2 linked regions of the Caenorhabditis elegans genome follow. The protein of the gene in region 2 binds, or shares a complex with, the protein of the main gene of each other region. Each region holds a gene or a part of one and is shown on either strand. Other genes may lie near its edges. The genes, in order: ify-1 and sep-1. A codon is read from its position in the direction of its gene.

Region 1 (3,819 bases), on a different chromosome or scaffold from region 2:
AGAAAGAAGATCAAAAAACTGCTGACGACATAAGGTTTTCTTGCATTTTAATTTTGAAAATTCCAAACAAAGTTTAATTTTTTCAGAGGTGATGTCAGCTTGAGTTCCGCAAATGCCGATCGTAACACACTTCGCCAACGAATCAGAAGCATGTTGGGATCGAATCGTACATTATCCAATGTTGACCAATCCACTATGAAAATCTCAATGAAAGCCACCAATGTCTAAACACCTCGTCAAATGTATATTTCCATACTTATCCTACCACTGAGATTTTGCTATCCCGATGAATATAATTTGCTTCCATGTTTTTCACCCGATCTTTTCGATATTTTATCACTGCGCAGTCATTCATTTATAGGAAAGAAAATTACAATTTTTGCCAAATTTGTCTTTTCTTGTATTCATTTCTTTCGAAACGGAAAACATCCGTTTTTTCGCTTACGAGTGAATTAAATAATTTGAAACAAATTTCCTCTCAATCGTTTTTGCCTCGGTAAATGTCGAATTTCTGTCAAATAAATACTTCAATCCAACACCTGGAATATTAGATTAATTCAAACAAATTCCAAAAATGCTTCGCGAATTTTTTCTATGTCTTTTCATAGTAGACATCAAACGTCTTTCCGTACATATTTTTCGGGAAAAGCTCCTGGAAAACTTTTTATAAGACAAAAACATCTGAAACAGTTATAAAATACATTGATATACCGTTTCATTGTTCAGAGAATGGACATAGAAAATTACCAGTGGGGGGAATGATTGTGGGGCGAGGGTGATTTCGCCAATATATGTAAAACAGGTAGAAGAGGCTGACGTCGTGGGAAATCACAGGGGAAGGTTGGCTTCTTCGGCGAGGAGGTCGTAACTATCCAAATCGTCCGCAAGCATCGAAAAGAGTTCATTTCTTTCAGCCTTACTCATTTTCACTTCATCAATATCAGCAATAACAGTCCGATGGCGAGTTTCTTCGAGTTTCACATCACCTTCTTCCGCGAAATCCTCTGTTCTGAGCACATAATTGAAATCGTCGCCAATTCTTGAAGCTGGATCAATTGGTGGATATGAGTCCCATTCCTCGACTCCCAATTCAGCAAGAGCTTCTGCTTCAGACTCTGCCGGATCGATAACGTCTCCATATGGCCGATCTTCAGAAAGTACGACGTCTTGATCTTCCAAATTAAGCATATCGTCCTCAATGTCAGCAGCTAGCGAATCGAATGTTTCACATCGGTTTGCAGTGTCGATTGGAGAGCATGGATGTTTTTCGGTCTAGAAAATGATGAAAATAAAAATTATGAAGCAATACTTTTAATTGTTTTAAGATTAAAACTTCCGTAGTTTTCTTTTCTTTTAATAATTATGCTGGAAGAAAACATCACCTTTTTAATGGTGGCCACATCGGCAATCTGATCATCTGTCTCATCTTCATAACATTCAAAAGCAATTGGAATAGTGTTCTTCTTGGTTGAAGGTGGCACTTTACAAGCCGATGCCAAGCTCTGAAGCGATTTTCCGCCAGGAGTTTTTGACGAGTTTACAACCAGCCCCAAACCGCCACGAGAAGGTGTCTTTTCAAGTTCATTTTGTCTGCCTAGCTTTGCACCTAAAACAAAGACGTTATAAGTAAAATAAATATATTAAAATAAAACTTACTGAAGTGTTGTTGCAAGGAGGCTGGTATCTGGGTGCTTCCTCTTTCTTCGAAGTTTAGATCCTCCATTTTGACTTGTGCGAGTATGAATAGCTAGAAAGTACGAATGCCAGTTTTCAATTAGTAGGAATGAATACAAAAATTGTTTCGATGATGCAAAAGAATTTAAATTGTTCACGTTTTGCCGCAAAAAGATGGAAACAAAATGTGAAAAGGAAAAATCAATGATTTAAACTAGCCGGCGTCTTCGAAGTGCCATAGAGCGCAGATGCATAAGAGGGAGGTACGCACAGCTGAAACGAGTGTGACCGTAGTTATTGTCGTGTTGGGACGCCGACTTGGAAAATGAGTAGAGTTCTCGGCCTAAATTTGCTTCTTTTCTGGGTTTTACCTTCACGCAAGCTTTTTTCAGCAGATTTAAAACAATTTAATATTGTGTAGCTTTCGAAATCGTTTTTTGTTATTTTCATGATCGTTTATTCCTGAAGATGCCGATAATATTTTGTAAGATCTCAATTTTTACTTTCAGGTAATCATGGTCCCAAAGCCACACGCCAAGTCGGCCAAGAAGGCTCTTCGCAAGAAGAAGGTGCACCTCAAGTTCAACGTTGAGTGCAAGAACCCAGTTGAGGATGGAATTCTCAGAATCGAAGATCTTGTAAGTTGTAGGCTTTTTAAAATTAATCAGCCTCATCAAGTCGATAGAGTTCCCGTCTCTATCGCAAGACCAGGCTTAGGGTATATATTGGTCCCTAGTAAGTCCCGGTTGTTTTCAGGAAGCCTTCTTGAACGAGAAGATCAAGGTCAATGGAAAGACCGGACATTTGGCCGCTAACAACGTCAAGGTCGAGGTCGCCAAGTCCAAGGTCTCAGTCGTCTCCGAGGTCCCATTCTCGAAGAGGTAGCATTTTATTCAATCAAACTTGTTCTCATATTTTTATATTCAGATACCTCAAGTACCTTACCAAGAAGTACCTCAAGAGAAACTCCCTCCGTGATTGGCTCCGTGTGGTCGCTGTCAACAAGAACACCTACGAGGTCAGATACTTCCACATCAACGACGGAGAGGACGCAGGAAGCGACCACGAGTAAACTCGGTTTTTTGTTGTTGGAATAAATTGTTGTTTCAAATCAGGCTTCATTAGAAAAACAGCAATATGATTATTATCGAGTACCAGTAGGGAATGAGTGGTGAAGATGATTCGAAATCGGAATTTTGATGCAAAAATTTTCTTATCCAGGTTGTAACTCTGTTATCCTCCCCTGGTGGTATTTCGCAGAACTCGTGGATGGGTCGGTCTGGCCGGGATTCCTTTGCTTTGTTTTCGAATGTTCGCATGTCGCAGAACTGTTCTCCTCGGCATCCCTTGATTCTCGACGTGACAGTTTCGAAAGTTGAATGAACATTTTTCTGATACAGCACCTGCAATTATGCGATGAGATGGCATTATGAATCGAAACATACTCTGAAATAGGGCTTCTCGTCCGTTTTATTATGGAACAGTTCGATCGCGATATCTGAAGCATAGTCAGGCCACTCGCCATATTTCTCAGGTCCTGCAACAATATCCTCAATTCCTAACACAGCGAGGAGAGCGAATACTGTGTGATCATGCTGAAATTAAAATGATTCTATTATACAAGTACAGAGGAGTTGTGATTACTGTAGAGTAAGCGTAGTATTTCAGATTTTTGTGATAATTGTCACATTTGGCTTCATTTTTAGCACAAGTTGCTTTCGTTCTCATTCTTGCAGATATATCGTTTATCATTGGGCCACCCCGTGTTTTTAAGATTTCTCTTCGTACATTGATGCCTTGAACAATTGGCGGATCATAAAGTCCCGTAACGAATGCTTTTGAAGGTCTTTCTAAATCGTCAAGATTCTCAAAGAATTCATCAGAATACCATGTTTGATTTAGTACAGATTCTGGAAAGTGAATTTTCTGAAAATTAAATTTTAAAAGGTTTTAAAATTAAGTAGACCAAGTACTTGAATCATAACAGCATCATGAACTTGCCACATGTTATCCCATGTAAATGTTTGATTAAATAGTTCAGACAATAATAAAGTTGTGTTCACATACTGGAATTAAATTTTTAAATTATAACTGGTTTCACTTCTCATACCTTTTCAGATTGTACATAACTCTGAAACTGTTCTC
Region 2 (7,737 bases):
ACGGCCAATTGAAAGCGCCCCGCCCCAAAACGTTGGGTCTCGTTAGGAAATTGCTGGGAAAATCGTAAATTCGAACGTTTTCAATTAGTTTCAGCATTTTTGGGCACGTTTGTCAGATTTTCTGCAGTTTTTTATGATTTTTAAGCCGAAATTGATTTAAAAATATTTATTCAAAAATAATATTTTTCGACCTAAAAATCTTCAAATACAATGGAAAACATAACAAAAAAGACGAAAATTGCTTGAAACTAATTGAAAACGTTTGAATAATAATAATAAATACCTAACGAGACCCAACTGTGGCCGTGAAGCGCGTTTGCATATCGAGCGTAATAAAAATTGCGCTTAAGATCAGCTCAAATTCAAATTTTCAGTGAAAAATTGCACCCAAGAAGGTCTTTTCGCGTGTGGAGACGAGAATTGTGTCCCAAAATCGTTGGCGTGTAACGGGCGGCCCAATTGCCCGTACGGACGTGACGAACGTGTCTGCTCCGTCGGTCAGGACACGATTTTCAGCTTTTTGGCAAGCGGATTTGCTCCGCTTGTTTCGATTATTCTTATTGTGCTCATTGTGGTCTCACTCATTTGTTTCTACACTATACGCAAAAATAATTGTGGTAGGTGGCCCCGCGGATGGCTTTTCTCAATTTAAAGTGCCATATTTCCAGCTCTTCCTCCGATCCTCTGATGTCACTGAAAGCTGGTCCAAAATGAATAAATCATTCAATCATTTATTTTACACGATAATAATAAAACTTAGTTGACTAGTAGTGTCAAAGAATACAATAAGAAACCCGGGAGATAAGCACCTGTGCAAAATAAAATAACGATCCTTAAGATCCTTCGGGTCAGATTATATTACAAATTTCGGGATCTTGATGGAGTTCGGGCACTTGAGCGAGTTGTTCTAGTCGTCGGTGTTGCTGGAATAGGTGGTGCAACCAGCGGTTTCAGCTGCCGCGTTGTCGACCGTTTCGGAGCTTCATCATCTTCCTCTTGGAACGTTTTCACCTGACGAGGTGTCTTCAGAACTCTGCTTGGCATCCTTGCTCGGCTTGGAGACTTGTTCTCATTATTTGAGAAAATTGGAGTCATTGGAACAGACTTCGATGTAACAAATTCTTGTTTCGGTGTCTTCGGCACAGTTTCCATTCGCATCGAAGTTCGGGCTGAAGTCTTCGGAGTCTGCGGCAAGTTTCTCTGATCCTTTTCCACGAATGGCGTCGTTTGCTTTGCAACAACTGGCAATCCATACATCACCACAGCGGCACCGGTCAAATATTTCAGTCTGGCTTTTGATCTGGCCTCGTGCATAGCCTCCGATAGCTGACGAAGCTTGTCGATTCCGGTGAGCGATTTGGAATCTTCGAAACAATCATCGATCATTCGAATCAAGAAACGATCGATTTCACCATCAGTGACAGTCCATAAGCATCCAACGATCAGTGGACACTTTGCCATCGCGTAGTCCAGAATCGCCGTTTTTCCATCAAAACCGAGAGCTTGTGGAATTGTTCGGACACTAAAATAAAGGCAAAATTAGTTGAAAATCAATCAAAATAAATTATATTAACCTTCCACAACCCATCAGCAAACTGATCGCATTACACGTCGACTGCTTGAGCACAGATCGTGGCATAACCGAAGATCCAGAGCCATGTCCAATAAAGCTGGAAATTTTTTTTGTTGATATTCAATCCAGCTCAATCTCAGAACTTACAAAAACGCATCGCGTTGAGACAACGCGGCGCTAATCTCATTCGATTTTGGCGCCGAGCCAACAGTTCCTTCCCAATTGAACTTATTGATATATTCGACCATTCGTTTTTGTGTTTCGCCCAAATTGTTGTCAGGATCGAGAATGTAGTAGGCGTTTTGTACGTCGATTTGTAGAGGAATCTGAAGTTAAGAAATAATTTTTTTTTCAATAAAAACTTATATGGAAAGTATTTCAGCTGGTAATGCGTATTGCGCAGCATTGTTGATGCGCAAAATATCTCGTAGGGAAAACTACAGTAACTCTTCGAATGGCTACTGTAGCGCTTGTGTCGATTTACGGGATCTCGATTTTTGAAATGAATTTATTTTCGAAACCAAAAATCTAGAAAACAAATCGACACAAGCGCTACAGTAATCATTTAAAGAATTACTGTAGCTTTCCCTACGAGATATTTTGCGCATCAAATAGGTTGCGAAATACGCATTTTCAGAATTTTTGTGTATTCTGGTAATATTTTCCATTCAAGATCATACCTGTTTCTCCTGACTTTTCATTGCTTCCAACTGACTAAAAGTCGAGTGAATCGATACTTGACGTCCCACATATGGATACTCATCGAAAATCGGCAATCGCTCCCAACAGAATTGAGAAAGATGGGGACAGATGACAAGGTACGTGTACTTCTTTTCCGTAACAATCGAATCATCCTGATTCATTACTTCAACCGAATTCCTGTGCATCAGCGGCAGGAACGATTTGAACTTCTCATCGGTAGTTCTCATCTCACAGAATCGAAGAATCAGCGCTTCCCAGGATTTCGCATCCATCAACTTTGACTGATATACCATCTCCTTGGCCTCTCCCAGAAGGAGTCCTCCTTTCGACAACTTGTGGATTTTAATTGCAAGTTCTGCCGCTTTCGGGCCCAACTGTCCAGACGGCATCAGAAGACTCGCCGCAACACCTAGGAAATGCTTCTGAACCTCGTCAACAAACGTCATCATTCTACCATCCACAATTTTCCGTCGTTTCCAAAACTCTTCTGGTGTAATGTCTCCGGGATACTTTGCTATCATCTCGTCTTCATCCAACAAAAACGTGAATTTATCCATCAATTCGACGGCTTGAGAGTAGTGTGCCAGTGGCATGATGATCGGATCACGATCCGCGTGCAGTTTCACCAAATAAATCGTCTTATCATCGGCCATCGCAATCTGTACAAGCGTCATCTCGTCTGGCATCGACTGTACACACGTTTTGAAGCGATCATGTCCCGACATTGTCACCAATCCTCTCTTGCACTTCTCAAGTCGGCTCTGTACAGCGTTACGAGCTCCGATCTGTGTTGACTCGGCCCATGCGTACGCAGCCTCCCAAGGATCACGTGATGTTCTTCCGACGTAGGCGAACAAGCGGCAACGCCATTCTCTGGAAAATTTTTGAAATATATATTCATTTTTTAATTCTAAATTTCAAACCTGTATAGAATATGGCCGTAGTGGTTCATCTCGTTCCGCATGGCAAGCCGAACCTTCTCGAAGCGTTCCTTATCGAAAGGCTGAAGATTCTTCTCCAGTTTCTCAACTTTCGGACGACGTCCGAACGGAGAAACCGCGCGAAGAATGTCGACGGCACAATCGATCGTTGCCTTGACACGTGGTTTCCGGATCGTTGGCCGCATCCAGCTATAGTTGCATTCCATGGGAAACTCGAGTTGTCGTCCAAGTTGTGTCACTGCGAGAATCATATCGGTTGTTCGTTGTTGAAGATATCTCACGATCTGAAAGATGAAATTTCGATTTTCCCATTTTCCAAATCAAATATTTTATACCTTCAACGCGTTGTTGAAAATCTCCATCGTATCCTCGTCAGCACTTTCTTTCGAATCCAACTTTTTCGTCAGCCACCGGATCACACACATGCCGAAAATCTCGTTTTGAATGATATTCGGTCTCTGCAATAAGTTTGTATTTTATTGTTTTTGAATTTCCAGAGCAACCCACCGGCCTCACACTCGAGTCCCGATGCATCAGAACCTGACTAGACATTCCACGCTCTCTGATTCTCGCGAACTCGTCGTTGAAATGTTTGATGGAGAGTTGCGAGAAATCCGAGTGAATTGCGTAGGACATCATGTATTCGGCGGCGAATGAGCTATGCAGCGGGTAAATCGTGCAGACATTGCAGACGCAGGATCGGGTGATCGGATGGAATGATTGTTCATCGAGTCTGGAAGAGTTAATTGAATAATTTTATATTATGGGAGCGGCTTTCGTGTGATGTCTCAGAAAAATCGCTCGGTAGAATTTGATTTTTAGAAAAGCGGCTTTTTCAACACTTTTAAGCAATTCAGGTCATTCTAATGAAGGGTGTCGGTTTTTCGATTTTTTCAGAAAATCGAAAAACGAAAATTTTTCGATTTTTTCAGAAAATCGAAAAACGAAAATTTTTCGATTTTTTGATTTTTCAAAAATTAGCTTTATATTTTGGCTATTATTCTTCTTTTTAGAAGAAACTTGTATGTTTTTTTTCTAATAAATATATGCAAAAAAAATCATAGGTATTTTATGGTTAATTTTCTGAACATATTTTTGCGATTTTTCGATTTTCCAGGGAATCGAAAAATCGAAAATTTTCGTTTTTCGATTTTTCGATTTTCACTGAAAAGTATCGAAAAATGGCACCCTTGATTCTAATTCAATTGAGCCGCGACGCGACACGCAAAGCGCCGTAAATCTACCCCGGCCGGGGCCGAGTCCAAATGGCTTAATTCGGAAAATTCTTACATTTAAAAATTTGGGGAAGCCTGAAGCGCGTGATTCAGCTCGATAAAATCGAGGGGAAATTGATACGTTATTTTTAAGAATGTGGAAAACAGTTAAGCCTATTTTTTCTTGCGCGCCGTCTCTGTAGGGTCAAATTCTATTCTGAATCTAAATATTCCAGCAATCCAATTCTCACAATTCGAGATCTCCCAACAGATCAGCCAGATCAGGTCTCATCGTGTTCTGTTTCTCCGATACACTACTCCCTGCCATCGGTGTATGAGCTCTCGAAGTGGCTCCCGTCTCCTTCGGAGTGCTACACCGAACAATTATCGGATTAGACGACAGCAAATTAACACACGATACTCTCATTAATTTCGCGTTCTTCTCACTTCCGGCTTCTTCGATGATACTCGAATAGTAGGCTAATGTGTTGGTTGTCTGAAGAACTCGAAAGAATGAAGCCGATTTTAATGCGACACGAAGATTCAGAATCATTGCCGACATCGAATCACGAGTTTGGGCGGTGGTGACGTTGACGAGAGCACACTCCCGACGCATCTCAAAGTGCCAAGCGATTGTACTGCCAATGTGCACTGAAAATGTAGAAATTGTGTTTGAAATTATATATTTTTTTTTTCAACAATTTATACCATAATAATTGCTATCTTCTTGATGCCCGTCTAGAAATGGCCAAATTGATGCATTAACCGAGTTGTCGAATTGAGAGCTGGCGAGGCCAGGAATTCGATTACGCACAAGTGAATCACTTTTTAATGCTGCTTCTTGAATATGGGACACACGATCCGGGAACTGAAATAATTATAAAATATATTTTAGAACACAAAACCATCGCTTCATACCTCACACTCCCTGAGTGCGGATCCAACGGGAACATTGCTCAACGTTGAGCACAACCAAGAGACATAAGAAGCCAACTCGTATCTCGAAAATGAGCGAGTAGGATCCGATTTGACTTTATCGCGAAGCTTCATCAGCTTTTCGAGCATTTCCACGCGATACTCTGACTTTTTCAGGTAGTTCATCGCGAATTCGGTAGCCGAGAACATGTCTTTCGAGCTTTTATCCATTTTCCACGTCTTCAGCTTCTTCTCAATTAGCTCGGTCTCGCCGAGAAACATCAACCATCGAAGAGCAGCTTCCTTGGCCAGAGTGTCGTCTGATAGGTCGATGTAGTCGAGCAGGCACACGACTGCTCTGCACAGTTCTCCGTTGTAAAAGTAGAAAAAGCAGAGTTTCGCGGGAATACTCGCGAAAATCTCTCGATCTTTGCTCCGACACTCCATCGCCTCCTTTCGTAGAGTTTGCCACGTGATGAACATTTTGCATGCGGTTCGTTGATACTTCGCAAGTCCTTGAAAGTATTCGGACGAGGCGTAGTATGAGGTGATTCGAGCCAATTTGCTCAGCGAGTTCATGTCAATCGGTCCATTGACGCCGAATTCGGCGATAAAAAGCTCGGAAATCTCCTGTTGCAACTCGGCAGTTTGTTCGGCAAACCCGATCACCGTGCAGCTCACATTTTTGCGTAGCTCATCTAGTTTTTCGATGTGCTGCTTGTCAACTGACTTGTTTGTGATCTTCATGAAAGTTTATCTAGAAAAATTAAAATTAAACTGTTTTAATGGAATTAACATTATTACATACATAAAAAGCAAGTTTTTTGATTGATTTTCATTAAAAATCGAGGAAAAATTGAAAATGAAAGGGTTTCAACGCACGTTATCTTCTAAAAAATTTAAAAAATTTTCTTCTAGATGATACGCTTCACATACGCGACGCGTAACATTGGAGCAACGTTGTCACTTTTTCTTAAAAATCTCTTATAAGAGTTGGCACGGTGCCAGATCCGGAATTCCACCAGATCTTGAATTAAAATAAGTTTTTTTGCAAGTTTTAGCAAGTTGAAGCAAGTTTTTTTATTGATTTTCACCGGAAATCGAGGAAAATTGAAAATGAAACGATTTTCGAGGCAAAAATAAAAAATTTCCCTCCGATTTTGAAGTCCGTGAATGCGCGTGCGGTGCAACTGCGTACAAAACACCAAACTTTACGACAGTGCGGTAAATTCTACTTTTCAAAGTTTGAGCCCCAAAATTCGTTTAATTTTTGTTTAAAACTTTTCTTGTTTATTGAATTATTTACATTTTTTCAGTCGACATGCCGCGTATCAAGCAAGCGCCGACAAAGAGACACTCGTTTAAGCGAATGGAATCGAGAGAAGCCGACGAGGTTCTTAATAACGATCCAAAAAATGAATTTAGAAAAAAAAACCAACAACTTTTTTCCAGAGTTTTCTCGACGAGGAAGAAATCGAACGAATAAAGGAGGAACTTCAACGAGTGCAAAACGAGAAAAAGAAGCACATTCAGAGAATGCAAGCTCGACTCGAACAAAGTAGGCATTTTCCTGAATTTTTTCCCCTCACAAAAAACATTTATTGTCATTAAAGTAGTGAGAATTCTTCGGGAGAATGATTTCAAGTCGCATCAGAAGGGAATTTTGACTTCGGTGAAGTTTCGAGGAGCAATTGCCGGATATACGACGAATTGAAGCTCGTCTCCTGTAAAATAGAGATTTTTGATTGAACAGACTCAAAATGTGCTCAAATTAACAAATTTCGTTCATTTTAGCCCATTTCGAGGTTATAAACATGAAATTCTCACTTGGCAACGCCTTCTTCGAGTTGTATTCCATTTGATCGCATTCAATGGCAGTTTCCATGTCGATTGAATCTCCCGTAACAGCTGAAAAGCAAGTATAAATGTCAATTTCTGTCGGGAAAAAAATCCACTCACAATTTCCCGCTTTCGCCGGAGTCCCATACTGCGAGTTTTCGTTAACCTCCGAACGACTGCTAGCCATATCTTTTGCACTGATCAACTTGTTGCCCTTATCCACATTCAACGTATCCTGCTGCTGTTCACCGGAACTGTTATCCTTCACCTTCTTCTGCTCATCAACCTCTCCAGCAACTTCCGACTCGGCTTTCGCTGACTTTGCTGGAATCGCAGTTTTCATCGAATCGGCAGACAACTCATTCTCCTTATTTTCCTTTTCCTTTTTCTCCTTCTCTTCCTTCTCTTTTTCCTCTTTCTCAGCTTTTGCCATTCTTTCCATCTCGTCGTCTTCCCATTCATATGGATCCAGAAAGTTGATCTTCAGTCTGGTGATAGCCGCCATCAGCTGAAAAATTTCTTAATTGTTAATCGGATTCTATTTCGAGAAAAA

What was found.
Region 1: the proteins of sep-1 (region 2) and ify-1 are in contact, whole or in part, in a cryo-EM structure (PDB 5MZ6), measured with the Caenorhabditis elegans proteins. Residues at the interface, in NP_491160.1 of Caenorhabditis elegans: Asn22 (codon at 6,029), Cys25 (codon at 6,020), Ile28 (codon at 6,011), Glu32 (codon at 5,999), Ile55 (codon at 5,930), Asp56 (codon at 5,927), Met57 (codon at 5,924), Asn58 (codon at 5,921), Lys81 (codon at 5,852), Arg84 (codon at 5,843), Thr85 (codon at 5,840), Cys87 (codon at 5,834), Lys88 (codon at 5,831), Ile91 (codon at 5,822), Arg130 (codon at 5,705), Asp144 (codon at 5,663), Thr145 (codon at 5,660), Leu146 (codon at 5,657), Arg217 (codon at 5,444), Ser218 (codon at 5,441), Phe219 (codon at 5,438), Ser220 (codon at 5,435), Leu261 (codon at 5,262), Arg268 (codon at 5,241), Asn269 (codon at 5,238), Arg270 (codon at 5,235), Ser277 (codon at 5,214), Gln278 (codon at 5,211), Phe279 (codon at 5,208), Glu296 (codon at 5,157); in NP_494931.1 of Caenorhabditis elegans: Leu118 (codon at 1,212), Ala119 (codon at 1,209), Ala120 (codon at 1,206), Asp121 (codon at 1,203), Ile122 (codon at 1,200), Glu123 (codon at 1,197), Asp124 (codon at 1,194), Asp125 (codon at 1,191), Met126 (codon at 1,188), Leu127 (codon at 1,185), Asn128 (codon at 1,182), Glu130 (codon at 1,176), Asp131 (codon at 1,173), Gln132 (codon at 1,170), Asp133 (codon at 1,167), Val134 (codon at 1,164), Val135 (codon at 1,161), Leu136 (codon at 1,158), Ser137 (codon at 1,155), Glu138 (codon at 1,152), Asp139 (codon at 1,149), Arg140 (codon at 1,146), Tyr142 (codon at 1,140), Gly143 (codon at 1,137), Asp144 (codon at 1,134), Val145 (codon at 1,131), Ile146 (codon at 1,128), Asp147 (codon at 1,125), Pro148 (codon at 1,122), Ala149 (codon at 1,119).

The regions. Positions count from the first base shown.
Region 1 is NC_003280.10:5,053,433-5,057,251, forward strand, and holds ify-1 (Securin-like protein), read right to left. Parts: upstream 1,748-3,819; 5' UTR 1,724-1,747; coding exon 1,657-1,723; intron 1,607-1,656; coding exon 1,383-1,606; intron 1,273-1,382; coding exon 829-1,272; 3' UTR 703-828; downstream 1-702. Other genes in the region: F33G12.6 (PPM-type phosphatase domain-containing protein), read left to right, coding at 1-34, 87-228; rpl-22 (Large ribosomal subunit protein eL22), read left to right, coding at 2,190-2,312, 2,431-2,555, 2,602-2,746; C27A2.12 (Histidine acid phosphatase), read right to left, coding at 2,796-3,077, 3,120-3,269, 3,319-3,600, 3,648-3,740, 3,785-3,819. UniProt on the Caenorhabditis elegans protein: Acts as a chaperone and as an inhibitor for separase sep-1. Plays an essential role in maintaining chromosome cohesion prior to meiotic and mitotic anaphase, in cytokinesis and in organizing the spindle and the centrosome.
Region 2 is NC_003279.8:3,432,442-3,440,178, forward strand, and holds sep-1 (Separin homolog sep-1), read right to left. Parts: upstream 6,103-7,737; 5' UTR 6,093-6,102; coding exon 5,349-6,092; intron 5,299-5,348; coding exon 5,139-5,298; intron 5,082-5,138; coding exon 4,682-5,081; intron 3,950-4,681; coding exon 3,724-3,949; intron 3,675-3,723; coding exon 3,552-3,674; intron 3,501-3,551; coding exon 3,199-3,500; intron 3,149-3,198; coding exon 2,254-3,148; intron 1,900-2,253; coding exon 1,721-1,899; intron 1,671-1,720; coding exon 1,575-1,670; intron 1,523-1,574; coding exon 859-1,522; 3' UTR 717-858; downstream 1-716. Other genes in the region: neto-1 (CUB domain-containing protein), read left to right, coding at 375-617, 669-688; nefr-1 (Protein kinase domain-containing protein), read left to right, coding at 6,667-6,738, 6,798-6,903; Y47G6A.13 (non-specific serine/threonine protein kinase), read right to left, coding at 6,996-7,069, 7,173-7,253, 7,305-7,692. UniProt on the Caenorhabditis elegans protein: Cysteine protease, which plays a central role in homologous chromosome separation during meiosis I and in sister chromatid separation during embryonic mitosis.